Linked DNA regions of Danio rerio. The protein of the gene in region 4 interacts with the protein of the main gene of each other region in a pairwise test. Links are inferred from orthologs where the notes say so. Each region holds a gene or a part of one and is shown on either strand. Other genes may lie near its edges.

Evidence for each region.
Region 1: the proteins of tfip11 (region 4) and sh2d4a interact in binary tests that used the Homo sapiens proteins (3 or more experiments, as listed by UniProt). The two-hybrid records come from large-scale screens. The link is inferred for Danio rerio from reciprocal best matches to the Homo sapiens genes TFIP11 and SH2D4A.
Region 2: the proteins of tfip11 (region 4) and lats1 interact in a two-hybrid assay, tested with the Homo sapiens proteins (2 studies listed by BioGRID and IntAct). The two-hybrid records come from large-scale screens. The link is inferred for Danio rerio from reciprocal best matches to the Homo sapiens genes TFIP11 and LATS1.
Region 3: the proteins of tfip11 (region 4) and odad3 interact in binary tests that used the Homo sapiens proteins (3 or more experiments, as listed by UniProt). The two-hybrid records come from large-scale screens. The link is inferred for Danio rerio from reciprocal best matches to the Homo sapiens genes TFIP11 and ODAD3.
Region 5: the proteins of tfip11 (region 4) and gng4 interact in a two-hybrid assay, tested with the Homo sapiens proteins (2 studies listed by BioGRID and IntAct). The two-hybrid records come from large-scale screens. The link is inferred for Danio rerio from reciprocal best matches to the Homo sapiens genes TFIP11 and GNG4.
Region 6: the proteins of tfip11 (region 4) and abi2a interact in binary tests that used the Homo sapiens proteins (3 or more experiments, as listed by UniProt). The link is inferred for Danio rerio from reciprocal best matches to the Homo sapiens genes TFIP11 and ABI2.
Region 7: the proteins of tfip11 (region 4) and imp3 interact in binary tests that used the Homo sapiens proteins (3 or more experiments, as listed by UniProt). The two-hybrid records come from large-scale screens. The link is inferred for Danio rerio from reciprocal best matches to the Homo sapiens genes TFIP11 and IMP3.

Annotation. Positions count from the first base shown.
Region 1 is NC_133185.1:7,483,940-7,488,400, forward strand, and holds the start of sh2d4a (SH2 domain-containing protein 4A), read right to left. Parts: upstream 3,016-4,461; 5' UTR 2,913-3,015; intron 2,738-2,912; exon of another isoform or gene 2,661-2,737; intron 2,535-2,660; 5' UTR 2,468-2,534; intron 908-2,467; 5' UTR 809-907; coding exon 634-808; intron 1-633. UniProt on the Homo sapiens protein: Inhibits estrogen-induced cell proliferation by competing with PLCG for binding to ESR1, blocking the effect of estrogen on PLCG and repressing estrogen-induced proliferation. May play a role in T-cell development and function.
Region 2 is NC_133195.1:1,293,556-1,297,457, forward strand, and holds part of lats1 (serine/threonine-protein kinase LATS1), read right to left. Parts: intron 1,671-3,902; coding exon 1,088-1,670; intron 1-1,087. UniProt on the Homo sapiens protein: Negative regulator of YAP1 in the Hippo signaling pathway that plays a pivotal role in organ size control and tumor suppression by restricting proliferation and promoting apoptosis.
Region 3 is NC_133181.1:9,171,204-9,175,105, forward strand, and holds part of odad3 (coiled-coil domain-containing protein 151), read right to left. Parts: intron 2,385-3,902; coding exon 2,238-2,384; intron 2,148-2,237; coding exon 1,987-2,147; intron 1-1,986. UniProt on the Homo sapiens protein: Component of the outer dynein arm-docking complex (ODA-DC) that mediates outer dynein arms (ODA) binding onto the doublet microtubule. Involved in mediating assembly of both ODAs and their axonemal docking complex onto ciliary microtubules.
Region 4 is NC_133198.1:20,749,735-20,753,636, forward strand, and holds the end of tfip11 (tuftelin-interacting protein 11), read right to left. Parts: intron 3,183-3,902; coding exon 2,939-3,182; intron 2,863-2,938; coding exon 2,720-2,862; intron 1,027-2,719; coding exon 861-1,026; intron 779-860; coding exon 417-778; 3' UTR 314-416; downstream 1-313. UniProt on the Homo sapiens protein: Involved in pre-mRNA splicing, specifically in spliceosome disassembly during late-stage splicing events. Intron turnover seems to proceed through reactions in two lariat-intron associated complexes termed Intron Large (IL) and Intron Small (IS).
Region 5 is NC_133188.1:53,673,437-53,678,026, reverse strand, and holds the start of gng4 (guanine nucleotide-binding protein G(I)/G(S)/G(O) subunit gamma-4), read left to right. Parts: upstream 1-1,471; 5' UTR 1,472-1,795; intron 1,796-4,590. UniProt on the Homo sapiens protein: Guanine nucleotide-binding proteins (G proteins) are involved as a modulator or transducer in various transmembrane signaling systems.
Region 6 is NC_133184.1:13,911,312-13,915,213, reverse strand, and holds part of abi2a (abl interactor 2a), read right to left. Parts: intron 3,138-3,902; coding exon 2,970-3,137; intron 1-2,969. UniProt on the Homo sapiens protein: Regulator of actin cytoskeleton dynamics underlying cell motility and adhesion. Functions as a component of the WAVE complex, which activates actin nucleating machinery Arp2/3 to drive lamellipodia formation.
Region 7 is NC_133177.1:10,337,439-10,342,121, forward strand, and holds the start of imp3 (U3 small nucleolar ribonucleoprotein protein IMP3), read right to left. Parts: upstream 2,868-4,683; 5' UTR 2,771-2,867; coding exon 2,634-2,770; intron 2,519-2,633; coding exon 2,411-2,518; intron 1,817-2,410; coding exon 1,742-1,816; intron 1,075-1,741; coding exon 995-1,074; intron 1-994. UniProt on the Homo sapiens protein: Component of the 60-80S U3 small nucleolar ribonucleoprotein (U3 snoRNP). Required for the early cleavages during pre-18S ribosomal RNA processing. Part of the small subunit (SSU) processome, first precursor of the small eukaryotic ribosomal subunit.

The DNA.
Region 1 (4,461 bases), on a different chromosome or scaffold from region 4:
AACCTCAGAGAGCAGTGCACGTCGAACAGTTTATCAAGAATGTACCGCTGAATCGTGTCTCACTATAGTTGTTAAAGGTGATATTTAATTAATCTTGTCTCAGGTCACAGCGTCAGTACACTGCTTCAATCTTTCGCTTTCACGCTTGTACTTAGTAATTTTAGCGAAAACCTCAGAGACAGATCACTCAGCCTATTCATGCCAGAGTCCTGCGGAAAAAGTGATTGACAGGTGGTGATTTGTGTGTAATTTTATTTATTTGTGATTTGGTTATGAGTAAAATAAAGACCATGTGGGTCAGGTAGTTGAAACGGTAGGCTAATAACTAATAATTAATTCTTTATGAATTAAATAATTATTCATAAATAATGAATTCACCGCAGCCTACGACGACAATCCCATCATTCATCCTGATGTTTCACATTAGACACTGTAAGATGTCAAATTGGTCGACATCGCCCAACCCTATTTTCACTGTCCCTTTATTGTGTGATATGACGAAACAGTGATCTTAAACAGAAAAGTATTTTCAATTCAAATGATTGCAGGTTTGGCTAGAAAACAGCATTGCATAGATCTCAACTTAACTGCTTATTCACATCTTAATGACAAAATGTTTGTGGAAATAAAAACCTTTTTTGGCTTTGGCATGTGCGGCTTCCTGTTTCTCCAGCTGTGTCTCTCTTTCTTTCCATCTCCTGATCTGTTCTTCTCTCATTTTAAAGAAGAGAACTTGTTTCTGTTCCTCGTTCAGCTCAGCCAGGAGATCCGGCTCAATGTACATGTCGATCAGTATCTGCTGCAGCATCTTCCCGTGTCACTGACAAACACCACCTTGACAGAACTCAAATATCTTCAGTCAGCAGAGGGGTAATAGGGGTGTCTCTTGTTCTTTGAGAGAGGTGGACTGTAAAAACACAACCATTTCAAACTCTTTTATGTTCTTCCTCAGACGAAACGTTATAGAAAATAAATTACGATACTTTACACAAACAAAGAAAAAAATACATCATAAACAAAACATTTCAACCACATAAAGCTAAAAAAAAATCTCAAAGAGAGAGAAAAAAGTTGGAGATAGATTTAGTTTGGGTTCTACCAATAAGGATTAAGCATTTATCTAGATTAAGATTTTGAATTATTTTGGATTGTTACCTGATAAGACTAATACATTTACATTTACAAATGAGGACAAGGAAGCAATTTACACAACTATAAGTGCAACAATGAATAAGTGCTGTAGGCAAGTTTCAGGAATGTAAAGTGTAAGAAGCAAAACATTAGTATTTTTTTTTCTGTAATACAGTTAGCGATGGAGCCAGAGAGGCAATTGCAGATAAGGAAGGAAAGTAATGGATGAAAAAAAAAAAAAAAAACAATAGATGAAAAACACAAAATAGCAACAGGAAATGTTGAGAATTTTTTTTACCACTTCATTTAGCCTAATTTCTTGCAAAAAATGCTTTTTAGCAACTCATTTCGTTTGGTATACTTTGTATCTTTATTTTAATGTATTTTTGCTGGTCAGTTATCTACAAAATAAACTAAATAAATCAATACATTTTAGGTAAAGTGGCATTTTTTTTTTAATAATAAAGGAATTATGAATTCAATTCAAGTAGGCCTATTATAACATTTTAAAATATAATATTTGACAATTTTCTTTATTTAATAGATTTGAGTTATGAATTACAGCATTACAATACTACTTGGTATCACAATACTTTAGCTGGTATAGTATCGTAACATGAATTAATGGTATCGCGACAACCCTAGTTTGTAGACTACCTAAAGGCATCACTTTAGTTTTACTGAAATTAATCCTATAACCTGATAGGCACTAAAATCTTTAATAACATTAATAAAATTATTTAAAGATATTTCTGGTTTTGATAAGAAAACAAAACAAAAATGAGACGAATCTCATGTACTACATTAAAAATCATTGATTAGCTTTAACATCTGCTTCATTTTAATTTCCATTGTTGGAACCAAATGATGAACACAGAATTGTTATACATATCAATTAGAAATCAGTATTGTGAGATGTAAAAAACTGAACAAGTAAAAAGTCAGATAAAATATAACTGAAGGCATAAACAGAATTCTGACTCCTTTTTGTGGGGAAATTTGGATATTTAAGCTCAGAAATGCTGGAAACAAAAGTCACAATTACACTTAAGTCACAATGTAAAAACATAGGAATACAGTGTAGTCTAACTGTTAAACGGATGTCTGGTAATCTCGAGACAAATTTATCATATTTGAACAAACCCAGAAGTTTTACATACAATATAAGAATGTAAACAAGCAACAGGAAGCTACACAAAACAGTCAATCAATCAATGCCAGATCAAATCCAGCACTAATGACTCACACACGCAGAGAGAGAGAGAGAGAGAGAGAGAGAGAGAGAGAGAGAGAGAGAGAGAGAGAGAGAGAGAGAGAGAGAGAGAGGTAAACTTACCGCTTTAATCAAGTCTTGACACACTCATTACTCGCATGGGGATTTGAGAAACACTTCAGTGGCTTACCTAAAAACAATCCCAAAAAAACGCCGACTATAACCTTTCATTCCTTTGAGAACTACACCTAACATTAGGAGAAACCTGTACAGAAAGGTAATTCTCGAGTGAAGTCAGTGGTAATGTTGAACACACCCTTAAAACTCAAACTCAGTTCCCTCCTACACTTGGTTCTTCCTCCGGCTCCGTGTGAAAGACACATTCAGCTGCATGAAAGGTGCTTTATGTGCCGCTCTTATATTTGTTTGCTTTATTAGACATGCGCGCAGTTCCTCTTAAATGCCGTCAGCCACACAATTCTAACTCATTTACTATAGCAATATAGTATATTTTGGTATATTTTGGATACATATTTAGTTACACATAGCGTAGCTAGCTTTAGCTTACATCCGTCCAGCAGATTCTTTTAAACCTCACAGTGCAGGTGAAAGGCGAAAAGTGCAGAGACTCAGCGTGGAATGTGTTGTTCAATGACCTCTGACACGGATAGGAAACAATTTTAAAGATTGAGTGATTTTAAGCAATTTTTCAAAGTTAAATTAAACGTACATAAACAGAGCGTTATACATTATGCACTGTTCATAATACAATATTGCATAATTAAATAACACAAATATTGATTAGTTGTGACGAACGACCCGCACTAGATAGAGCACTTGTCCATAAAAAAACACTGAAATAGCATATGGGTTGACAATATCTTAATGTTACCTTTCAGATTGGCATGCATACATTGTTTTGTTTTATGTTGAATTTAATGTACATAAACAGCGTGATAAAATAGTTTCATAATACCTCTGATTTGCATATTTTAAAAATCTTGATTTGAGCAATATCAGTGGTGACGAACAACCCACACTAGGTGGCGCACTTGTCATAAACCACCACCGAAATCGCACATGGCTGAAATTTCTTGATTTTCTTTCAGAGGCCTATGCATACATTTTATATATTAATCATGTAGTTTCAGTATGCTGTATCCACTGAAAAATAATAATGTAATGTAATATTTTAACAGTGTGTAGTGCAATAAGATTGTCATTGTGAGATTTTTTGTGTTTAATAAATCAGTTTCCTTGGCAGATGGACTGAATCATTATAAGGACACAAACATATACGTAATTAATGAAAATAAACAGCACATAGTTCGAACAATTAACTCTTATGAACTGCTTAGTTTCAGTGAATCATGTAGCATCCAATTTTCTGTTGCCTGAACTAAAATGGTCCTGTGGTCCACTACAGTGAACATGCTGTAAAATTAAAAATAAAAACAAAACGTAAAAAATGTAAAAACTCTAAATTGTAGATTTTTTTTAACCCAAAGGAGGTAGGAAATCACACATAAAAAAAGAAAAAAACATTCTTTGGGGCGACGCAGTGGCACAGTAGGTAGTGCTGTCGCCTCACAGCAAGAAGGTCGCTGGTTTGAGCCTCGGCTCAGTTGGCGTTTCTGTGTGGAGTTTGCAGGTTCTCCCTGCGTTCGCGTAGGTTTTCCCCACAGTCCAAAGACATGCGGTACAGGTGAATTAGTTAAACTAAATTGTCCATAGTGTATAAGTGTGTGTGTGAATGAGTGTGTGTGTGGATGTTTCCCAGAGATTGGTTGCGGCTGGAAGGGCATCCACTGCGAAAAACTTGCTGGATAAGTTGGCGGTTCATTCCGCTGTGGTGACCCTGGATTAATAAAGGGACTGAGCCGACAAAAAAATGAATGAATGAATGAACATTCTTTGGGTCTGAGGAGGATACAATCATTATTTATTTAGAAGCTGAACTTAAGTCAATGGAATTATTTATTATTTAACTTATTTATTTAAATATAAAGATATAATATATAAAAATATTGAAATATAAAAACCATATAAAATATTTTCATATACTCAATACAGGTTAAGTAGTTTTGACATTGATGTAGGAGTGGTGAGGTGTGGAT
Region 2 (3,902 bases), on a different chromosome or scaffold from region 4:
TGAGATCCAGATTCGCTGCTCGTCTCCTCTTAATAAAGGCGCGGCTCTAGTTGCTGGTGATTGTCCTGTCTCTACAGATTTGGTAAGTGAGCGACCAGTGCTCTTTGTTTATTCAGTTTGTTTGTATCGAACTAACTATTGCACCGAGTGTAAACATGTTAACACTACAACCAAACTTTACCTTCGTGTAGGATTTTCACCGCATTTAGTGACCGGAATAACACACGCGGCTTTCTGACACTATCTGCCGTGTGCATCTAAGTTTCCGGGAAATGCGGAGGTTTTTTTTTCTCTCATTCGCCGTGCGGTATCAAACATTGCATGAAAAATACACGCTTAGAGCAGCTCCTCGAATCAAATATCTCGTTTGTCACGAGGGGCATGAATGAATTCCCTGAATGAAAGAGCCAAACTGCAGTTAAAGTCCACCATTTAATCATTTGGCAAATAATTCGATTACAGATGTCCATGTAAACACAGTCACATTCTCCCCTTTGTGTGTGTGTGTGTGTGTGTGTGTGTGTGTGTGTGTGTGTGTGTGTGTGTGTGTGTGTGTGTGTGTTTTGACTCTGAAACTCAGCGCGTGGTCAAACAGACACTCCCACCCCATCCCTCTTTTGCCCTTCTGACACTCCCCCCTAAACAGAGCTGGACACGCCCACTTTTCTGTCCTTTTCCAAAGTAGAGGCGTGAAAACACCCTGCTGAAACGAGGGGGTTTCATGGCCCTTTAAATACACTGACACTAGAGCATTTTAAAGCTGCGTGGATCAGTCGATCCATCAGCGGCTTGCTCATGTCAGCTCATTGACAGATCAGCTGATTGACGCGACTTTAAAATGCAGTAGTGTCTGCGTCTCTCTGTGTCGGTAAACAGTAGTAAAGAGTGGTAAACCAATGACCTTTATGGCCAATCACAGTCATTTCTGTTGAGCACTGGTGAACACAACGGCCAATCAGCTGTGTTAAAGAACATGTTCAAATGTGCACATGCTCGTTACTTTTGACAAGCTTCCTAGATGTTACACGATAATAGCACAAAATCATTGGATCAATTCACCAAAAGGTGTTGGAGATGTTAGACTCACCGCTTTGGTAGTATTTCGAGTCGTGAGTCCATCTGAATCCAGTGCAGAGGCCGAAGTCTGTCAGTTTGATGTGTCCATCACGGTCGATCAGGATGTTGTCAGGTTTGATGTCTCGATGGATGAAACCCATTTTGTGGACGCTTTCCACAGCACAGATGAGCTCTGCGATGTAAAACTGAGCCAAGTCCTCCTGAAAAATGCCCATTCGGATCAGAAGACTCATCATGTCTCCTCCAGGGATGTAGTCCATGACAAAGTACAAGTTATCTTTATCCTGGAAAGAGTAGTACAAGCGGACGACCCACTCGTTATCCGCTTCAGCGAGAATATCCCGCTCGGCTTTCACGTGGGCTACCTGGTTCCTTAACAACACGTCTTTTTTACGGAGGGTCTTCATGGCGTACAGAGCTCCAGTGTCCACTTTCCGAGCCAAACACACTTCTCCAAACGCCCCGATTCCCAGAGTCTTGATCTTCTCGAACATGCATTTGTCCATTTTGGCGCGCTTGAGGCGGATGTAGTTGGACTCCTTCTGGCTCAGCATCATGCGCATCTGCTCCTGTGCGTCGCCCGAGAGTCCCACCTGAACACACAACACACTCCTTATTCAGAAACACAGATACGCCAGCGACACACAACACAGACTGACTGATCTTGCGACATTTCAGACACAACACTGGCATCCAGCACTGAAAAACAACACAGCATGCAACACACAAGGTGTCCAACAATGATCAAACGACCACTATGCTGCTATTCTGAAACATAATCTTTAAAAGAACAATGCTGCGTCAATTGCCAGATTTTCAAAATGCATCACTATTCTCTCCAGATCTGATTCTGAACTACGTTTTAATAACAGATGCTGCTCTAGGCTAGTTTTTTAACAGCAGATGGCGCTCTAGGCTAGTTTTTTAACAGCAGATGGCGCTCTAGGCTAGTTTTTAACTTCAGATGGAGCTCTAGGCTAGTTTTTAACTTCAGATGGAGCTCTAGGCTAGTTTATAACAGCAGACGGCGCTCTAGGCTAGTTTATAACAGCAGACAGTGCTCTAGGCTAGTTATAACAGCAGACGGCGCTCTAGGCTAGTTATAACAGCAGACGGCGCTCTAGGCTAGTTTATAACAGCAGACAGTGCTCTAGGCTAGTTATAACAGCAGACGGTGCTCTAGGCTAGTTATAACAGCAGACGGCGCTCTAGGCTAGTTTATAACAGCAGACAGTGCTCTAGGCTAGTTATAACAGCAGACGGTGCTCTAGGCTAGTTTATAACAGCAGACAGTGCTCTAGGCTAGTTATAACAGCAGACGGTGCTCTAGGCTAGTTTATAACAGCAGACAGTGCTCTAGGCTAGTTATAACAGCAGACGGTGCTCTAGGCTAGTTTATAACAGCAGACAGTGCTCTAGGCTAGTTATAACAGCAGACGGCGCTCTAGGCTAGTTTATAACAGCAGACGGTGCTCTAGGCTAGTTATAACAGCAGACGGCGCTCTAGGCTAGTTTATAACAGCAGACGGTGCTCTAGGCTAGTTTATAACAGCAGATGGGGCTCTAGGCTAGTTTATAACAGCAGATGGTGCTCTAGGCTAGTTTATAACAGCAGACGGTGCTCTAGGCTAGTTTATAACAGCAGATGGGGCTCTAGGCTAGTTTATAACAGCAGATGGTGCTCTAGGCTAGTTTATAACAGCAGATGGTGCTCTAGGCTAGTTTATAATAATAATAATAATAATAATAATAATAATAATAATTCCTTACATTTATATAGCGCTTTTCTGGGCACTCAAAGCGCTTTACACACAATGGGGGGGGTCTCCTCATCCACCACCAGTGTGCAGCATCCACCTGGATGACGCGACGGCAGCCATTTTGCGCCAGACCGCACACCACACACCAGCTGATTGGTGGAGAGGAGACAGCGATGAAACCAATTGGAATATGGGGATGGTTAGGAGGCCATGATGGACAAAGGCCAGTGGGCAGATTTGGCCAGGATGCCGGGGTTAAACCCCTACTCTTTTCGAAGGACATCCTGGGATTTTTAACGACCACAGAGAGTCGGGACCTCGGTTTAACGTCTCATCCGAAAGACGGCGCTCACTGAGCAGTATAGCGTCCACGTCACTATACTGGGGCATTAGGACCCACACAGACCGCAGGTTGGGCGCCCCCTGCTGGCCTCACTAACACCACTTCCGGCAGCAACCGAGCTTTCCCATGTGGTCTCCCATCCAGGTACTGACCGGGCACAGCCCTGCTTAGCTTCAGTGGGCGACCATGTGAGAGTTGAGAAAAGCTAGCTGCCGGCCATTTATTATAACAGCAGATGGTGCTCTAGGCTAGTTTATAACAGCAGACGGTGCTCTAGGCTAGTTTATAACAGCAGACGGTGCTCTAGGCTAGTTTATAACAGCAGATGGTGCTCTAGGCTAGTTTATAACAGCAGACGGTGCTCTAGGCTAGTTTATGACAGCAGATGGTGCTCTAGGCTAGTTTATAACAGCAGACGGTGCTCTAGGCTAGTTTATAACAGCAGACGGTGCTCTAGGCTAGTTTATAACAGCAGATGGTGCTCTAGGCTAGTTTTTAACTTCTGACGGCGCTGTAGGCTAGAGTTTAAACAACAGACAGAGCTCTAGGCTAGTTTTTAACAATAGATGGGACTCAGGGCTAGTTTTACAAAGCAGAAGGCACATCCGCAACATCGATCTGTCTGAACACTCTTGTAATTCACTTAAAACCTTCTTATTGATTATTTTTGGTTCAGGTGGTATGCGTAAAGAATTGGATGTGAGCAGAGTACGGCTGGTTTT
Region 3 (3,902 bases), on a different chromosome or scaffold from region 4:
TTCATAAGTCCATGCTTGAGGTTTCTTAAAGGTACAGTTCACCCAAAAAAATTCTTATTTTACTATTTACTTTCCCTTAATGGTTATAAACATTCACATGTTCCTTTATTTTAACACAATCAAAGATATTTTGAAGAAAGCTGAAAATCTTTAACCATTGACTTCCATAGTAGAAAAAACAAATCGTATGGAAGTCAATGGTTACAGGTTTTCAGCATTCTTCAAAATATCTTCATTTGTTCAACAGAAGAAAGAAACTTATTGAAACTCATTGAAAAGTATTGAAACAAGTTACAAATGATGACATAACTTTCATTTTGGTGTGAACTATCCTTTTAAGTATGTTAGCCAAATGTAATGGTGTAACGTAAAAATATATAGTAGTGCATTAGTTTTAATTTAGTGTTCCTTTAAATTCTATCTAGGCTGCACTGTAACCTGCACACAGCTCATTAAAACCCCCCAAAAATACACTTGCTTTGGTGGACACATGGCCTAAGGTCCCGCTTCCACCTTGCATGGGTTTTCCCGATTTTTGACCCCACATGACTAGCAGAGACACAATTTTATTTTACTTGCTATAAACAGGCGTTCAAATATGTTATTGTGACTCGCTTTTGGATTTAAATGAGACCATCACCTCTTATGCCATTACATTTTACATGACTTTTGTGCTACTGAATAAACAAACCCACACTACACAGCTTCTGTGAAAGCAGAGAGCAAGCGGATGAAAAGAGCAAAGATGACAAGTAAAATTTATATCGTAATTTGTGTTTTAAGATACACTGCAAAAACAAACTAATCAAATTTGTTTTTAACTACTTGCACAAACCATTTCAGATCATGTTTACAATTCTGTGTTCTCTAGTAAACAGAATAACGAAAATGCATATTAATACCAGGTATGCAGGTGTAAACGGTAGTGATGGTAACACTGATGCTACTCGAATTTTTCCACGTTAAAAGTAGTTTTTGTTCTAACCGCCCATAATGGCTATGAGTGAAGCTTTTATTTTAGAAACGGCTTCTATTTCTGCGTCATGGCTAAACAACAGCACAAACTACTATGACAGTTATCATCTAAGGTGCTGTGTGATAATGTATGTGAATGTATGTGAATGTGAGAGTATATGGATGTTTCCCAGTACAAGGTTGCAGCTGGAAGGGCATCCGCTGTGTCAAACATATGCTGGTAACATGGATCCCAAGGTTTCCATATCCTGGATCAGGCCGTATCCTGAGCAGCTGCTGTGGTGGTCATGGAGGAGTGGAGAGCGTGAGACTGATTCCTGTGACGCTCCAGAGACAGACAAGTCTTCGCTGAGGCCAGCTTCCAGCCTCCGCCGCTGAAACTGCAGCTCTGCACAAGACGTTTGGCCAGCGGAAAAATGGAAATGGCCGTGCCCAATTGAGTCTGGTTTCTCTCGAGTTTTTTTTTCTTCACTTTTGCCAATTGGTGAAGTTTTTTTTTTCTTTGCCGCTGTCGCCACTAGCTTGCATGGTTCGGGATCTGTAGAGCTACGCATCGAGGGATTTGCTCTTCAGTGTTTGGACTCTCAGTAGTGATTATTAAACCACACTGAACTAAGCTGGACTGAACTTAAACTCTGAAAATTGAACTGACACTGTTTCAATTTACTATGATCTTTTATGTGAAGCTGCTTTAACACAATCTACATTGTAAAAGCGCTTATATTCATAAGGTGAATTGAATTTAATTGAATATGTTGGCGGTTCATTCCACTGTGGCGACCCCTGATAAATAAAGGGACTAAGCTGAAGGAAAATGAATGAATAATGGTTATTAATGTTACTAACGGTACAATGTCTTATGCATGAATGCTTTTAAAATTCTCATTCAGTCACAGGCCGCAAAAACACATGCAAATGATAAATTACAATACAAATCCTGCGATTTGTCTATTGCAAATGATCACATTGTGATATCGATGCTGAAAAGATATTGTAGTTTTCAGCTCTCACCTTGAGAGTTCCGTCTCTCGTGAGTATTTCATATCCTGAAGCTGAGTCTGTAGTGTGTTTCTCTCTTCTTTCAGTTCCTGCAGCATTCTCTCGTTTTCTGCTTTCATCTTCTCCAAATGACCATGAGTTTCTCCCTGAGAGACAAACCTGTCCACTATTTCCTATTATAAGAGACACCATGAATAAACAATCCTAACCTGAACATAAAGAAGTAGTCTATATGCACTGAAATATATATACACTGTCCTCACCTGTGAGTCTGTGACTCCAGTGGCTTCTTTGATGCGCTGGAAAGCTTCTTCAAACGTAGATGTGGTTTCTGCTTCTTCTCCTACTATGATGGCGCTGCGCTGGGCCTCGCTGCTCAGCTCATCGGGGTGCATGGTGGCCCATTGAGGCTGGATAAGAGACATGCAGAAGAAGAAAAGAGATATACTAAACAAAACCATACTAAAACACTTTGGCACTGTCACCTCACAGCATGAAGCTTGCTGGTCCGAACCCCGGCTGGACCAATTGCCACTTGTGTATGGAGTTTGCATGTTCTCCCTGTTCATGTGGGTTTACTCTGGGTGTTCCGGTTTCCCCCACAGTCCAAAGGCATGCGCTATAGGTGAATTTGGTAAACAAAATCGGCTGTAGTGTATGACTGTGTGAATGTGAAAGTGTATGTGTGTTTCCCAGTACTGAGTTGTGGCTGGAAGGGCATCCTCTGCGTAAAAACAATGCTGGAATAGTTGGTGGTTCATATGGCAACCTCTGATAAATCAGACTGAATGAATGAATGAATGAATAATTGATGGTATGAATGATCTAAGAAATTTTAAGTGGAAACATACAGAAAGATACACACAATAAAAGTTGTTTCTAATACTTAATATTTGTTAAGTTTTAGAATGATTCATTTTTAAACTGTTTTTCCGGTCTACTGATTTGAAACGGAGTAACTGAACGTTAATTTTGGAGCTTATTAGCCATGAAGAAAGCGCGTGTTTTTACTGTATGAAATTTGTGGAAACTGATGTGTTCTTTCAGGATTCTTTAATAAACTGAAATCAATGATCAATATTTAATGAAAATTTGAATATTTTGTGGTAAAATTTTAAATATCTTTCTGCCTTTGTCAACTTCATGTGGCTTAGTAAACTTAATTATTAATTTGTTTTTCTTAATTATCCCTCACATTTGAAAATAATGTCTAAACCAAAATGTTCATTCAATCATTTTCCTTCGGCTTAGTCTCTTTTTTAGAGGTTGCCACAGCGGAATGAACCACCAACTATTCCAGCATATGTTGTAAGCAGCGGATGCCCTTCCAGCCGCAACCCAGTATTGGAAAACACCCATACACACTCATTCACACACACTCATACACTACAGCCAATTTAGTTTATTCAATTCACCTATAGCGTAGGTCTTTGGATTGTGGGGGCAAGCGGATCACCTGCAGGAACACGCAAACATGGGGACAACATGCAAACTCCAAACAGAAATTCCAACTGGCCCAGTGGGGACTTGAACCTGCGACCTTCTTGCTGTGAGTGCTAAAATATTAGGCAGTAAAATTAAATAATCCAAAATGTTACTTGAACATTATAGAATGACATCTGAAGAATGGAGTAACTACTTCTCATATTCAGCTTTGCCATAACAAGAATAAATTATTTTAAATTACTATATATATATATATATATATATATATATATATATATATATATATATATATATATATATATATATATATTATACAGTTATTTTTAATATATATTTTGAATTAAATAAATATTGAGAATAACAGACATTTAAAAATGTAAACATTCCAAACCTTTGATTAGTAGTGTATCTACTTTTAACTAAATTAATTGCCTATTTTAACCAACACTGTTGTGTTTTGAGTTTTAATTGCAGCAGGTGTG
Region 4 (3,902 bases):
ATCAATAACAACAGCCCATCTGCTTCTGAAGAGATGGACACTTTACTTCTCTGAACCATATCTTGAGGGATCAAATGATGTATGAAACAATGCCATTTATTTTTCTGTAATAACTGCTCCTTTACTTTTCTAATAGAAATATTTCCTTTTTCAATTGTAAATCAGATTTAGTTTTCACTATTTTTTCCACCAGCTTATTAAACAGAAATACACAATAAAAATTTGTATAAAATAAAAATCTCTTCCTATATTAGTCTGATTAAAATGAAATGTGACACATCAGTAGGCGGTAGCTGAATGAAACGATCAACCATTAATTAAAGCACAAGTTTATTCAGCAGTATAAACAATATTGATAGACAAACAGTTTAAAGCAACACAGAACTAGATTAGAGAGCAATATTCAAACCTCCGCCTCATTTGGCCATGTCAATAAGACTCTGTAGTGATGTTGGAACCCAGGTTTTCTCACCTTGGACAAACACCACTCCACGCTCGATGTAGATGACTATTCTGCCAAATGTGAATAGCTGTTTGCCCATGTGCCGTTTGGCTACCAGTGGCATAAAGACGATGCCGTTCTCTTCGGCCTTGGCCTGTACTAGATCTTTAAAGTTGGTCGGTACAGATGCTGGCACCGCTGCCATTCCTGGTGGCCGTGTGGCAGAATTGTCCACTTCGCGCCGCTCTGGCTGAAGCTCGCATTGGAAATCCTTCCTTCTCTCTGTCTGAATCAGGTATGCAATGTTCTCTCTTGCTCCAGGTTGCATATAACCCCCTGCAAGGACAGCAAATGTATGAGAAGTTGAAGGTAGAATGGATGAATTAAGTGAACATTATTTTTTTAGCATGTGACTGACCGAGTCCAGAAGCAACGGCACGGTTCATGATGTCGAGGGCTTCGTTGAGTTTTTCTTTGACTAATGGGTGACTGAGCAGGTTCTCTGAGAGCAAGCCCTTCCAGCCCAGATACCATTTAGTGATCTCCTCATAGTTTGGGTTATTACTGAGCCAAGAGCACAACACCTGCAATAGGAGACAAAGAAACCGTGAACAAATGTAGTAGGAGTGCCTACAAAACATCAGTGTGTCATCCGGAGCCATGGCATTTAATGACTACTTTTATCAGCTAGAACTCTTTAATGTTCTCTTTTACTCTTTAGTGTTTAAAGACGAAAATGGCACCTACATTTAGGCATGAGCTGGTATAAGATTCTGACGGTATAATAACCTTGGATAAAAATATCCCGGTTTGACAGTATTGTGATTACTGTGCAGCAGAAAATGTTGACGGTTTTAAAACCTTAACTTTTCCAAACCGCAGCTTACTTTGAAAACAATTATCATCCCATGCCTTCCTACATCTTGGATGAAAGTTTTATTTGAGTGAACTATCCGAGCTAAAAACATTCTTAACCTTTGTGTACTTTTCGAGTATACTGCCCTTTTGTTATGTTTGTGGCTGTTTTAGCATCATTGACTTCCATTATAATTACATTTTTATTTTGTTGCGAAGCCATGACACCATATAATCATGCATTCTTGATTGTTGGTGGTTTACCCTGTTGGGATAAGGTAAATGTGTCATTTTTACTGATGAACATCAGTTGGCAGCATTAACACTTTAGATAGGCATGTGCAAAAAATTATTGTTTAGATTATTGTGTGTGTGTGTGTGTGTGTGTGTATAAATACTCTTAATATGTTTACTATTTTCTGAGAGCTGAGCTGCTTATTTTGATTTTCTCAAACATATTAAGAAAAATGTGCAAAGGTGTCTCTCTCACACACACTAGTATAGAAGACAGAAACTGAGCTTTTTTTTTGCTCTTCAATTAATGATCAACAGTAAAAAAATTAAATTGCACCTCTTTCCAAGAGGGGAAAACCACCAACAACAATTAAGAATGCATGATTATATGGTGTCATGGCTTTGCAATTTTTGGCTTTGCAAAAATATGATTATAATGTAAGTCAATAGGAAAAAACAGAAACAGAAATAATGAAAGGGTAGCAAATTTTCCCAAGGTGTATTTTTAAACATTTTCAAAGCATTTTCCCAAAATATGTGTCAAAAAATTTGTCACCAAAAATGATTCCATTTGTTGTAACACAGACAAAGTTTTGGCCAACTTACGACTCAAAAAGCACCACAGAGTGAATGAAAACATCCCCAACAGTACACAACAGTCTTTCATGTTTTGTCCCAATCCCAAAGAAATACAAGCTATGCTAATGCATTACACTGACTAACCCATCTTTCACACCGCGAGCAGAGCTTAAGCAGCGCGTGTTTTTTCGGCGTCCATGTTAACAGATTAGAGCTTTCATACTGCACGCAGAAGCAGCATGTCAGCGTGGAGCGTGAGCGATAGTTTCAGTGCTGGGTCTATTTTTGCCATGCTGCTCACGCTCAATTAAAGTGACAGTGGATTGATAACGACCAAAAACACATTGAATGACCGTAAAAAGTAGCAATTTTACCCAATAAATGCATCGATAATGTCCCCAGATTTTTATATATTCAATTAAATGAACTTAAACAACTTAAACAGTGCAATAACTGCTGATGCACTGCGTGCTGCTGACAGAGCTACTGTGAAAGGCAAACGCCTGTGCGCTACATCTGCTCTCAATCTGCTCTGTGCACGTGCTGCTTATGCTCTGCTCTCGCTTACAATGTGAAACAGGCATAACTGTAAAACTCTGTAAGGCTGACCTGTAGCCATTTGGGGAAGAAATTTTTATCCAGGAGTCCGACCATGGAAGAGACAGAGAGCATACATTCCCAGTCCATCACCCAGTTAAATGGATCGAGCAACTGCTGATGAGGATTGACCACTAGCTCTCCTAAACACAAAGCTGAAACACAGGAGAAAAACCTTCACATGCCATCCAAGTCTCCCAAAGTCTGACAGTCTAGCAAAAAAGCACATACCCAGTTTGGGGACAATATTTTTGACCATGAAGGCCTCCCAGGCGCCGGGTGTGAAGACATCTCTCCAGGGTTGCAGAATGAGTCTGGCGGAGGAATCGCTGGGGTGCCAGCGCTGCAGAGCATGGGCTAGTTTACTACGGATGGGTGCATACAGCGGCTCAAGACGGGTTTGCATAAGAGGTAGCCAGGGATGAATCCATGAATGAATGGGCACTGTGTCGGTCAGTGGGTTCCAGTTGTCCACCTATTTAAAAAAAAAAAAAGTTACATCTTTATAGAAACACTTGGTTCTGTTTACATCTGGTATTAGGATGTTTTCATCATTCTGATCACAGGTGGACATGGCTTTATACAGGTGTAGACAAAGACTAAAATGTTTTAAGATTTTCCACTTTCGTCCACATCCAAAGGTAGTTGAGAACACATAAAATCGGACCGTTTTGTAGTGTTGACATTCATGTGGTCAAATTCATCATCATTCAACAGGCACTAAAAATTAAGTTTTGTTTTTTTGCAAAAAACATTTTTGACAATTTATTGTCATACTGACATCTTAAAGCTAAAAGGAGCTCTTAACTTGATGATTTAGGAGAGAATCTTACTTCTAAATAATAGATTTAAATGGAGTTTCTGTCCTAAATTTAGGACTCCAACATTTCACTCATAGTATTTCACAAAAGCTTTTTCAAAACACTAGCTCCTAAATTAATGAAACATTAGGAGTAGTGAAGAGGACTCCTAAGTCACAAAGTTCTTATATGGTTAGAAATTAGTTTTTAAATATTTATTAATTTATTTTTTTTAATGGCTAGAATAAAACATTTGCACATATGTTCTATAAATATAAATTTGGCCATTCTCTATCATTTAAAATATTTACAAATATTTAAAAGCATTTAAAAATATTTATTCAAAGAAAATACTTACATCAATAATTCTCTTTTTTGAATATGCGCCCTGAATT
Region 5 (4,590 bases), on a different chromosome or scaffold from region 4:
ACAGATATTTAACTGACTGTAAGACACATTATTAAGCACATTAACCCTAACCTAACAGTCTACCTATAATCTAATAAGAATTAGTTGGTATGTAGATGCAAAGTAACTTAAATTCAACAGAGCATCAAAAAAGTGTGACCTATTATTGTTTTTTTACTTATTTGTTTTATTCAAATGGCTAAATTCTAACTGAGGAAAGTTGAATCTGCTGGCCAGATTATTATTTGCCTAATAAATGAACATAAGCTACTGTCTTTAAAAACATTTAGCGAATCCTATTTTTTTTCTTAATGATAAATCATGTAATAATTTAATGTTTTTTTTTTCAGAATATTTTAGGAAATGTTTTGGTACATCAAAAAGTTTGGTTATGATGACCATCCGACAAGCTATTTAAACAGAAAAGTGCTTAATGTGATTAAAATTCAGTATTTAAACCTCTTAATTAAATTGAAAATGAGGTGAATAACTGCAAATAAGTCCACTTATTGAGAAAATCCACCAGGCTGGCTACAGGCCTGCATATAAACATTTAAAGGCGCATCCAAAAATGATCAGAGAGATTACAGCCAACTTTATATTATAAAAAATAGATTATATTATAAGATGCACATTATTAATATTAATGCTTTAAAATTGTTGGAGGTAGTGATCAGTTTTTTTCCCTCTCCGCTGTCGCCACTGGCTCGCATGGTTCAGGATTGGTAGAGCTACGCATCGATGAATTTGCTTTTCAGTGTTTGAACTCTCAGTAATGATTTTAAATCACACTGAACTGAACTGAACTGAACTGAACTTAAACACTAAAAACTGAACTACACTGTTCCAGTTACTATGACCATCTATGTGAAGCTGCTTTGACACAATCTACATTGTAAAAGTGCTATACAAATAAAGCTGAATTGAATTGAATTGATTGTGTCCAAATAAAATTTAAAATCTTAACAAAACAAATAAACAGTAACTTAGATGAAAATGTGTGCATTTGTGTCTAAAAACTTTGGCTAGTGGTCAATTAAATTGCTACGGGCGTGGACTTATCAACATGATAATGTGTCTAAAGGTGTTTTGGTTTTTTCATCATGACAGTAGTAACTTTAATGAGATTTATTTTTAAACTGCAACATAAATGTGATCATATTTGAGCTTGCCATGAAACACTTTTAATATGACATTCCATTTGCATATTGCACATTATATTTAACATTTAAGCATATTAAAGTGCTTTGCTTGCTAAAAATGTACCAAAGAAATAAGAATATGTAGATTTCAATACAGTGTGAGGAGGAATCAAAGTACCACCATATCACCCTGCTATCGTGTTTAAAAGTTGCTTTAAGTTACGTCACGGCCGCTCGCTAGCGTCATATTGGTGACTGGGAGACCCGGTGATGTCACATTAAGCAGGGAAACCTCACGTGCCTCCGGAGCGCCCTGGCAACTAAAAAATCTCCCTGTACGATCCTTCGGCGATACCGAATATCGGGAGTGCGCGCCGGACGCTCATCCGCGTGTCCGTCGGGGATCTTAAAGGCGCAGCGACACCTGCATCCTCTCCTGCGTCACACCGAGGTTCCCCTCACATCTTATGAACTAGAGAGAGAGAGAAGAGGAAGAGAGTGAGAACTAACCGGGGAAACACTCGACGTGTGAGCGCGTTTGGCGGAGGAGCGCGCGGACGGTGAGCTCGAGGTGTTGCGGGTTTTTCCTCGTCGCGTTCGGGTGGAGTCGAGCCACATCGCGAAGTCTAAGAGCAGTGACACACTTCAGGTGGGTGGAACGCGCTCTTCGGCAGGTACTGGCGCTAAAATGCATTCGCTTAAATCATTTTTGGAACGTTTGGCCGCCGCGTTCGGTTGGTTTGCAACATTGTATCCGTTCAGGAGAATTCCAGGCGCGCCCGCGGCTCCTTTGATGATCAGGCGGATGTAAGATGCGGGATGAGGATGATCCCGCAGGGTTTGAGGGTTTTTTGGTTTGGGATTGAGCTGAAGATGGACGCGATGGAGCCTCTTGGCCGTTTGATTTCATCTGTCTTTAATTGTGAACGCGAGGGTGATGAGCGTTTAGAGCTCTGTGAGAATCCATTGAAATTAATGAATGGATGCATGGATGGATGGATGAATAATAATCACGACCCTCACGCGTTTTTCTGCTGATCTTCGATTTCGAGCACATGCCGACTTCAAATAAGAGCCTGAAATACGACGCTGCTTCTTTCTATAACGCCTGCATGTCGGTGTATTGCGCTTCTCCAGCGTCGTGGCTGTCTCTTTGGCCTTTATTCAGCTCTGCTGTGGCATTATAAATGTGCACATGAGCTTCATATAACCCTCGCGTTGTGTTGAGATTGTTGTGTAATGATTTGTACGTATAAATAATTCACAATTAACCTCTATTATTCTTAGCTGCTCCTCTGACCCGTTTTGACAGGAATTGCTGGAGCTGTTATGTCACTGTGGTGTTGGTGTGGATGAGAAATGAGGAGCATCTGTAGTTCTGCTTAATGTGTGTATATACGAAAAAGGAACTTGTGCTTATCTATTTGATTAAGAATGTAGTAAAACAGTATTATTAGGATAAGGAATAGCTGTCTTCGTTGAATTTGAATAGATTTAAACATAAATGACAGCTGTGATGTGAAGCTGTCACATGATCCTTCAGAAATCATTATGATTTGATGATCAAGAAACATTTCGCTTTTGATAGGAGTTCCTGAAGAAAACTATATGTGATAACAGGCTTAATAATGAGACATTTAACATGATGTAGGGAAGAGTGGGGCACAAAGTTTTTGGTTTTGGCCAAGTAATGAATAAAGTAATGGAGTAAGACAAACCGTTTGATTTTTACCAACAACACACAAGCCTCTCCTACAAATGAGCGCTGGTTGTATGATCGCCGGATCTATGGTTTCTGTGCAGTGTTGCTAAAAATGCCAGGAGGATAAATGTTACTATTTGCCCCACATGCGGGCAGGGCCGGCCGTGTACATTTGGGGGCCCTAAGCAGAGTAATATTGGGGCTCTACCTTGCTCTAAATAGTGAAGTTTTGCTATTGCAATCCGCCCACAATGATTATATTGCATATTAAATACAATTAATGAAACAGAAAAGCCTGTTTTTTTCTACTTAATAACTGTCTGAATGATTAGACCAGCATTGTTTCTGTCAACTAACAGCTTCAAGAATGAAGAATTAAACTTAATATTTAGTAAAAGGGACCAGTGATTCCTACTTTGCATCCTTCTGATATGTTTAAAACATATTCTATTAATTTAGAAAACAGGTTGAAGATTTTATAGCTAATGGTTGAGTTTTTTTATTATTAATTCCGAAAGCAAAAACCCTGCATTGAAACAAAACTAAACAATAATTAGCCGAAAGTGAATATGCGCTACTTAGAAATAAAATATACTTTCTGAACTCATTTAAAACTAAAATGCAACAACAAAACAATTAACATTAATTCAAAAATTGACCCATAATTAATAAAATCAATAAGCAAATTATATAAAGTAAATACTCTGTTAAAATAGTTAGGTTAATAGTACCCCAAAATATAACCCAACTATAGGTTATTATGGCACCTACCCAACTTTGGGTTATTTTATCCCAATGCATTGGGTTATTTTGATTAAATGTATTTTTTCCATTCTGGTATTACTTTTACTATTACTACTATTTCATAATTATGGCTGTGTAAATATGTAAATGTCTCCGCTGGGTCCTGAAGGTGAGAATCCGGCCAGATATCCCATATGTGTATCATTTCCAAAAAACAAAGCGCAGAGATGAACACAGGAGGTCGAGAAAACATTTTATCCATTTAATATAAATCGTCTATGAAGTGTGAAGTGTGTCTTAATCAATAATTAAGAGTGCTGGTGAAATGGATATAAAAAACGCGACACTGAGAGGTCATTTGATTAAAAAAAGAACAACAATATTGTGTTGGAGCTTAAATAAACTTTATAGCACAAATACAACATTACAGACGCATATTAATACCGCTGTTCTGTGTCAGTTAAATCAGTTGTTTGTTGACATTCTAAATTATAACCAAACTGGTTGAGTTATTATATAAATAACCTAATAAAAAATAACCCAACAAAGCATCAATATTTAACCAAACTGGTTGAGTTATTAATAAATAACCTAATACAGAATAAAAATAACCAAACAAAGCATCAATATTTAACCCAACTGGTTGAGTTATTATATAAATAACCCTATAAAGGTTAAAAATAACCCAACAAAGCATCAATATTTAACCCAACTGGTTGAGTTATTAATAAATAACCTAATACAGAATAAAAATAACCAAACAAAGCATTAATATTTAACCCAACTGGTTGAGTTATTATATAAATAACCCTATAAAGGTTAAAAATAACCCAACAAAGCATCAATATTTAACCCAACTGGTTGAGTTATTAATAAATAACCCTATAAAGGTTAAAAATAACCCAACAAAGCATCAATATTTAACCCAACTGGTTGAGTTATTAATAAATAACCTAATACAGAATAAAAATAACCAAACAAAGCATCAATATTTAACCCAACTGGTTGAGTTATTAAATAAAT
Region 6 (3,902 bases), on a different chromosome or scaffold from region 4:
TAAATCATTAAAAATTATTGAATCTCTAAAGAATCTCTAAATAACATCAAGCTCATTAGATTTGAGATTTTGCAACTCAATAATACAGCATTTATACAGTACAGCACTTAGTAAACTGCTTATAATGTCTACTTAAGTCGCATTAGCACATGCTTAAGAAATAATAAACTAACAATTTGCTAATGATTAATAAACAATTCGTAACGTGCAGTAATTGCAAAGTGTTACCAAAAAGTCTTAAAGCTAAGCATTGGAGCAAAAAACAACTTGTGGAAAATAGATGGCATGAACTTCGTATTTGAGAGGCCTGAAATCTCTGTGGATGGAGTTCTGTTTCATTTCACACGGCAATTTGGGAGAGGACTGTGTCAAAAGCACTTGACGAGAAGAGCTGCATTAGATGTTGTGCTGCCGTGTTTAATCGCTTTAGAGCCCATACTGTAGACAGCTGTTAAATAAAAAATAAAAGAGGAAACACAGAGGATAAGCCTCTGCTGCTGGCATATCAAACACAGATAAATGATTTTCAGCATTAACCGACAGTGATATGGTAAAATAGGGCACGAGTCCAGAGTAACAGCTGAGTCCACAGATGAGGGCAGATCACAGAAATGGATACTAAATAAAAAAAAAAAGCATATAAAGAAGAAAACCGTAATCATCCATGTTTTTTTCAATGTTTTTCCCTTTGCATTTTTAAAGTTTTACGTATATATGACAAGCTTTCAACAATTCACATTTACACACATAAGAAAAAACTGTCAAACATGCTGTATTACATATGCCAGGACAATAGTTGGCACTACTTTTGATTCCATCCATCTATTTTTATGCGCATTTGGGATAAACGATTGATGAAAACACATAAATGTGCATAAAAACATACGTGCTTAACTGAGTAGGATAAACTTCTATTCAATAAGAAAATGTGCATAAACTGCGATGGAAACACTTTTACCATACAAATTCCAGTATGCACACTGAAAAAAGGTCATGTGATTCAGTTATATGAGATCATGTGATGATAAACGTGTCAATAGACAAACCAGCCTTAACGGTTTCAGTAATAGTGTAATGATATTATTAATGACCTCCAGAATAGAGGACCTGTGCTCCACATCTCATGCCTTCAAACAACGCCACGTGCTAATTGCGTGTCAACATCATCTTCTAAGGCACAAGTCAATTATTAAATGAAGAAAAGATTGACACAGCTTCTCCTACCACAGCAAATTGCTTTTTTTACTATTGATATTTGGTGCCATTAATAAGGAAATGATGATTTTGTTTTCTTTGACTTGTTGAATGGAAAAACTGCTTGATTCGCATGTCTTTTATGCAATATTCCAGTTTTGCGCATCAATTTAATTAGCATTTCTGGATGGCAACATAGCTACTGTTACCTTATTAGTAAACAGTACCTGTAGGGAAGTGATGATTCGCTCTTTAGGAACGAGTATTTTAGATTTGACGTTTGTATATGATGCGTCCACATTGTTGGTTGCTCTCGTTTATTGCAGGAGTTACATTCTAAAAATAGGTGAAATCCACGAAGTAGACAGCTTTACTTTTTACAATTCTAACAAACAAATTATAAATTACAATTTTAAGGCTGTAAAACCCCTCACTACACAATTTATACACTTTTATCAGAAAATCATTACCATTTTCACATTTTTAATTTTTGTTTAAACACTTTCAAAAAATAAAAAGTTCAAACTTTTATAGAAAAATAACTCCAGTATTATAGAATGAAACCATAGATCAAAACTGGTTGTCAGGCGCAAACATTCAGCGCTGTCCGCCAAAGATTCATAAAGCTTTTTCGCTTTTGTGTGGATAATGTTAGCATCCAGCGTAATGTTTTTTTTCCTGCAGTCACTGATCAGCAAAGCGAAAGCAGACTCCATCCTTTTAGGGGTCGTTCACCGGATCCGACGCGCACATACAGTAAGAAGTAACACAAACTATACGCACACATTAACATGTTATTTATAATTAAATTATTCAGATGTAGCGTGGCAGAAATACGAACAGTGTCCTGAGTCATAGCTAGGCGCCACTGACAGCCATCAACTTGCGATGCCGGTGTGCGTATCCTGATAGAAACCTATGTTTGCATGGCGCTGACTGGCGCAGTGCATACAGTCTGCGACCCCTTTTTTGATGATCTTGCTGCAGACACCCTTTTTGCATCCTTGTTAAAACTCACACTGCTAGTGATCATAGATTTGTGTTAATTTGGAAAACTGAATGCATTTTGCACTGCACAGGAGAAATAGAGGAGATTTATTGACAATGGTCAAACTAGCAGCAGCAAACTAGCTAAACGCAGCATCACACTGTCTCATTCTCACACATAGATACGCGTGCTCGCTTGCTCGAGAGTCAGGAGTAATACTTTTAGACCACCCGCTCCCGTCCAAAATTAAACCAGTTACCGACCGTTCCTGCGCTTTATACGAAAATTTATTCTCGCGCCGCAGAAATCTGGTCAGCTCCCTCGGTACAGCCGCGGGAATGCAGACTTCTAGTCTACATCCAATTACGCAGAACATAATGAGCTGTGTAAAAAAAAAAAAAAAAAAAGCAAGTCAAAATTTTCACGATTTGCACTTTGCAGGAAAGATCTGATTGAGGCCTAGTTTGTGGCCTTTGTATGTAATCTATTTTGTATGTGAATACTTGAATTTGTAAACCCAGCATTAGAGTAAACATACAGTAAACAGCCCTAACATGTTACCAGGAGGAGAATTTTACAACAGGGACTGATTTGAGATTGCAATTTACAAAACATGAAGCACTTTTTTGTGCACTTATTTTAGTGTTTCTCATGTTATGCTTTCAATATCTTACCTTTTACCCAACTAGGTCACAGTCATCCACCTGTCGCCTCCTCACAGTCTCTAAGAGCTGTCAGTCATTCAGTAAATATAGCTCAGAGTGTGAAACTGTATGAAAGTGTTTACCTGAGAGATGTGGTTGATGGAGGACTCCATGCGGCGCAGCTGAGACGCCTGGATGTCCAGCATTTGAAGCACATTGTTGGCGAGAGTGTTGATCAGGTAGGCCACACTGGCCAGGGATTGAGTAGTGTAGTTCTTGGTTTCCTCTAGAGCGACATGCTTGTCTGGAGCCTGAAAGAGAAACAAAAGAGTAACAGTCAGTGCGCAATTTAATCAGAGCCATTTAAAGGATTCAAGCTGTGGTAGTTAAGGGATTTGTGCTGATTTAAAAAAAACATATTACAACATTAATGGTCCAAAAGCTTTTTAAAGTTAAACTCACAATGCAACTATTATATTGTACTGATCTCAGAATGCTCAACGAAATCGAATTAGATTAAAATCTCTAGTCAGTATCAAGCCAAATCTAATAATAATAGTAATAATAATGTTAATAATAATAATAATAATGCATTTTATTTAAAGGCACCTCAAGAAAGACCACACAACATAGCAAGAACAACCAACAGATAAACACAAAATTAAAAGACAAAAAAATATAGTACAATTAAAAAAACAAAGTAGAGTTTTGAGTTTGGATTTGAAATGTGAAAGTTTAAATTACGGAGATCAGGAGGAAGTGAGTTCCAGAGATGAGGAAATCAATCAAATCTAGGGATGCACAATATATCGCCAGCCATATTGATATAAACCGATAAATGCTATTATTAATGTTATTGTTAATATTATCTATCCAATACCAAAATTAGGCGATAGAATATGTAATTGTACAAAACTGCCTGCCTTGCATGCGTAGACAAAGCCTTTAGTTCTTTCATTTTATTTAAAATGTTTATTTAACTTTGTTAATTAAATCCCATTTTTTATTAAGCCAATTATTTTTATGGAACAGTCGAGTTGCATGTTAATTTGCTATGAGAAGAAAAGGCATGCTGA
Region 7 (4,683 bases), on a different chromosome or scaffold from region 4:
ATTTTTGTCCTGTTAATTAAAATTTTACTTGATATTTTCTCTCAACATATTAATTATGTGTACAAATTTTTGAACTGTGATCTTTAGTTTATTTGTTGTTAGATTTATTCCAAATTTTGCTTTGGTACTGAATAATTTAATGTATATGCAAAAACATAAAGCATTTTGTAGATATATTAATTCAAAATATTGATCTGTGAGGGGTGTACTTTGCTATATTTATGTAGCATATGAATTACATAATTAAATAAAAAATATATTAAGAAAGCACTGACTGATATAAAGAAGTAGGCTACATTTCTTAAAGAATGACTTTAAAGCTGCAAACCGGTTGATGAATCCGGGCAAGAAAGGTAATTTAAGTGATTTGAACGTGGTATTGTTGTTGGTACCAGACAGGCTGGTCTGAGTATTTCAGAAACTGCTGAGCTATAGGGATTTTTACACACAACTATCTCTAGGATGCATCTATGCTCAACCTTCAGGGTTTCGCGACAGTAATGTGCACGAACAGCTATCTACATTATTTACACTGAACTCAGATTAGTTAGATCAAATGATCTTCAACTTTCTGATATGGAACCAATTTAAGCGTGGATGTTTAGTTCGGCTCATTGAAGTCAGGTTTTTGACTTTAATCCCCTCTTTTCTAAACCAATTTTAGGAAATTCATTTAGACACGTTTTGTCTGGAAACCACCATAGGAAATGGTCTAAGCAAATCTGATTTATATCAGTCTCAAATGCGTTTTAAGGGCCATTTAGCTATCCGATCACAGAAAAAATGCATGTAGTGACCAGGTGTAAACAAGAGCAGTTTAGAGGCATTTAGCAGGTGAATCAACTTTTCCAGAAACTTCAATTTGCCTAGCCATTTTAAACTCCAAACTAATTTCCTTTTGGCCTGATTTTGATCAAAACGACATCATCCACCCATTTAAATATAAGAATATGAACATATGCAGAGATCAGCAAGACTTGTGATTGAAGGATACGGCCCTGCTCAATGAAGGTGATGGCGTTCCTTAGGTTCTGAGCCATGCGCAGTTTCAGCATGATTGTGGGAAGCCGCCTCCTGTAGAAAAGACAACATTGAACAACATTCAAAAATTGTCTGCATCTCCTGCACTGCATAAAAACACTCACATATTAGTTGTCAGTGTGCAGGACTTGTGTAAATTATTTTATTATTCAAATCAAAAAATATATTGAAATTTGAATGTTTGAATTGAAAGTTTATGGTGTCATTTCAACAAATGTACGGTGCTGCTTTCAAAAACTCAACAACAACAAAAAAAGAATTTTTTTATTTAAAAACCTTACATTTAAATCTAGTACAAGAACTATGAAAAATAATGCACAACAATATTTCAGAAACCGCTTTTGAAGATTACCAGAATTGAATTCATCAAATTGTTTTAAAGTTCTTTGAACATGACTGTTTAAAACAGAGTAGCACATTCAAAACATCATCATTACTCTAAAGTACATGAAGGGCTTTATTTCATGGCACTATATATGTGTTTGTATGCATGTATGTATGTATGTATGTATGTATGTATGTATGTATGCTGGAGGTGCAAATTTTAAAGGTGCTTAATTTAAAATGATTAGTGATTTAATAAGTCTTTGAATCTGGTGTCCACGAAAGCATGGGGACCCTAAACATTAATAATTAATGTTTCTTGATTATCAAATCAACATATTGGAATAATTAAATAAAGCACAGTAACTTTACTCACCTGCAGAATGCAGATGCTGACACTTCATTTGCGAGAGAGAGGTTCTGTTTGGTGGGAATCAAACCGACACTGTATCTGCAAAACAGAAATCTTACAAATGTAGAAACTACTAAAACTTTAGTAAACTCCTTACAGAATGAGGTGTACACAAAAAACCAAGGTCAACAAGCTTTTAAAAATCGGAATAATATACAGATTCACATTTTATTTACTGTACAATTTTTATTCTGAACAAAAAATATAAGACATCTATTTTATCTATCATAAATTTTACCATGACTTACAGATAGCGCTAATAAACATGTATTACAATAGTTTGTATAGAAATAAAATCTTGTTTCGAGTATAGTTAGATTTAGAATTATTAAATAACATTAATAGACTTAAGATTTAATACAAATTAAATTTCGTCAAACAAACAAATAACTTTAAATATAATAAAGTTCATAAGATTCCTTTTAAACCTGTTTTTAATCATTTTTATTCTTTGCTGTTTTTCTTTTCTTCTTTCTTTTATTCATGTTTATGTAAAGTATTTAGATTACCTTTGTGTATGGAATCTGCTATATAAATAAACTTGTCTATTATCGCTTATGCTTTTATATATTCTAAACTAAAACAATTTCTGTATATTCATGACAATAAAATGTGACAGGTTCCCAAACTTACAGTTTTTCCAAGAAAAGGGCTGTACTCTGAGATCTGAATCCATCTTTTGCGTCCAAGTCCCGTATTTTCTGCGCCAATTCTCTGATATTTCGACTAAGTTTGTTGTATCTAAAGAGAAATCACGAATGCATTAATTGATAAGCCGCGTTTTATTCACAGTGATGTATTAGACCCATAACTTCAGAGAAACACAGTCATTGATAGAAGCATTTTCTTTACTCACTTGGTATAATCTTCCCTCTTCTCAATATGGTATTTTCTCAACACTTTAACCTCGTGTATATTGTTGTCAACCTCCCAGTTAATAAAATCAACTTTCTTCAAGAGTTTCTGCTCGTGAAATTTTAATTTACGTACCATTTTGCTAAAAAACACGGGCTATATTTATGGCTAAACGTGTTAATAACTTGCTCACTTCAGCTTACGCACGCGTGCTTTTTATTCACTGTGGTTTTCTGTAAAAACGTAGCTGTTAAGCTCGATATCGCCGCACAGTGTTCAGGAGGGAAACACTATAATTTTTAAATAAACAAATAAATAAACAAATAAATAAATAAATACATTTATCAATTAATCTATTTATTAATTTATTAATTAATTAACGCTTTTATCCAGAGCGACTTTAACAGATAAAGAATCCAACTGATCAAACAACACAGCCTGTCAAATAACACATTTTACTTAAAATTATAACTTTATAATAATAATATTAATAATAAAAAATCACAAAACAAATAAAATGGCCAAATAAACAGTAAAACAATAAATTAAGTAGCAAAATATACTATACATTTTCATTTCAAAACTTTGGCTACTCGCAGCTTTGCAGTATGTAAACTGATCAAATTAGACAGATTTTGCGCTGACGTAAACGTATTATAATTGATCTAAGTCATCAGGAGATGTCACTGGGGGAAAAAATGTATTTTCACATGACAGGAAAACCGACACGACATAAATCACTATCAAACCTTAGTTTCATCTTTGCAGAAAGTGAGGTAAAGGAAGTGAATGTTTATAAGAAATGGCGATCATATCCATCCATTGGACGGCGTGTGTGAGCCTCGAACAGGTAGGGTACAGTACAAATTAAAGCTCTTTACAGACATTACGAACATTATAATAGCCTGTGCTACTTGGAAATTCAATCATGACAGCGATTTTCATTTAAATGTAAGGACGTTCATGTAGCCTACTTTATGCGCGGAAAGCTGACAGAAAGTTTGATTTTGGAATTTAGAACCAGAAACCTATAAACTACGAACAAACGTTTTAGCTTTGCGAGTGTGTTGAAATAAAGAGAGAAAGAAATTTGATATCTTGATGGTGATAGTGAGAATGTGCTCTGGGGAATTTCTTTCATATATTTTTTTAAGTGTTGGAACTTGAACTATATGTAATATCATTAATACAGACTGTATGCAACAGAGTCTTTATTTGACAAAAAAATAAATTTCAATAAATTTAATTTTCTTTTTAATAATATTATTAATCATTTTGCACGTGTCCTTGAAATTGCTGTCCACCCCATCATGTGGTAAATGCCCCTTTAAGAAACCCTCTGATGTACTCATTGGCATCCCCATTTTGCCTTCTCTTCAGAGTCTCAGTCTAGTATATCCTTTAAAAGTCCATATAATAGAGCTCATTGACTGTTTGAAATAAAAACACAGCCCTAAGTATTTCTACATTTATGTGAACATCTGTATAATTAAATAATGTAAATAACATGTGTATCTAATTATTTACCTTATTCTGAAAAAAAAAATCTGTATCATTAAGGTGTTCAACTTGAGTTGCTTCCTACACTCCATTCACTCCTCCAATACAATGTACAATGTAAAGATTTACATTCAATATGCAAATATAATTTAAAGCACAATAATTGTTTATTTTCTCATTAATTTCCATATCAATAAAACCTAATTGATAACAGCAGAGGCGGTGTGGTGGCTCAGTGGTTTGCAGTAGTTAGTGAAAACAGAAGCTGAATTCTTGAAAACTTTTACAGCCCTTTTATATTAATGTTTCTTGTTGTACCAGTTGTTTTTCAAATGTTCCTCATATTTAGTTCACTGATTAAAGCCCTTGTCCACCCGGTCATGCCAGTGTTCACCCTATAATCTTGTTTTTAATGAAAATAAACTAATTATTTATACAGTAACCTCAGCAAAGCATCGTGTGTGAGTCCTTAATAAACCAATAAGTGCCAGTTAATATTGTTTAAAAGTTTTACTAAATATTTTAGATTTTGGGTTTTATTTTAAAAAGAA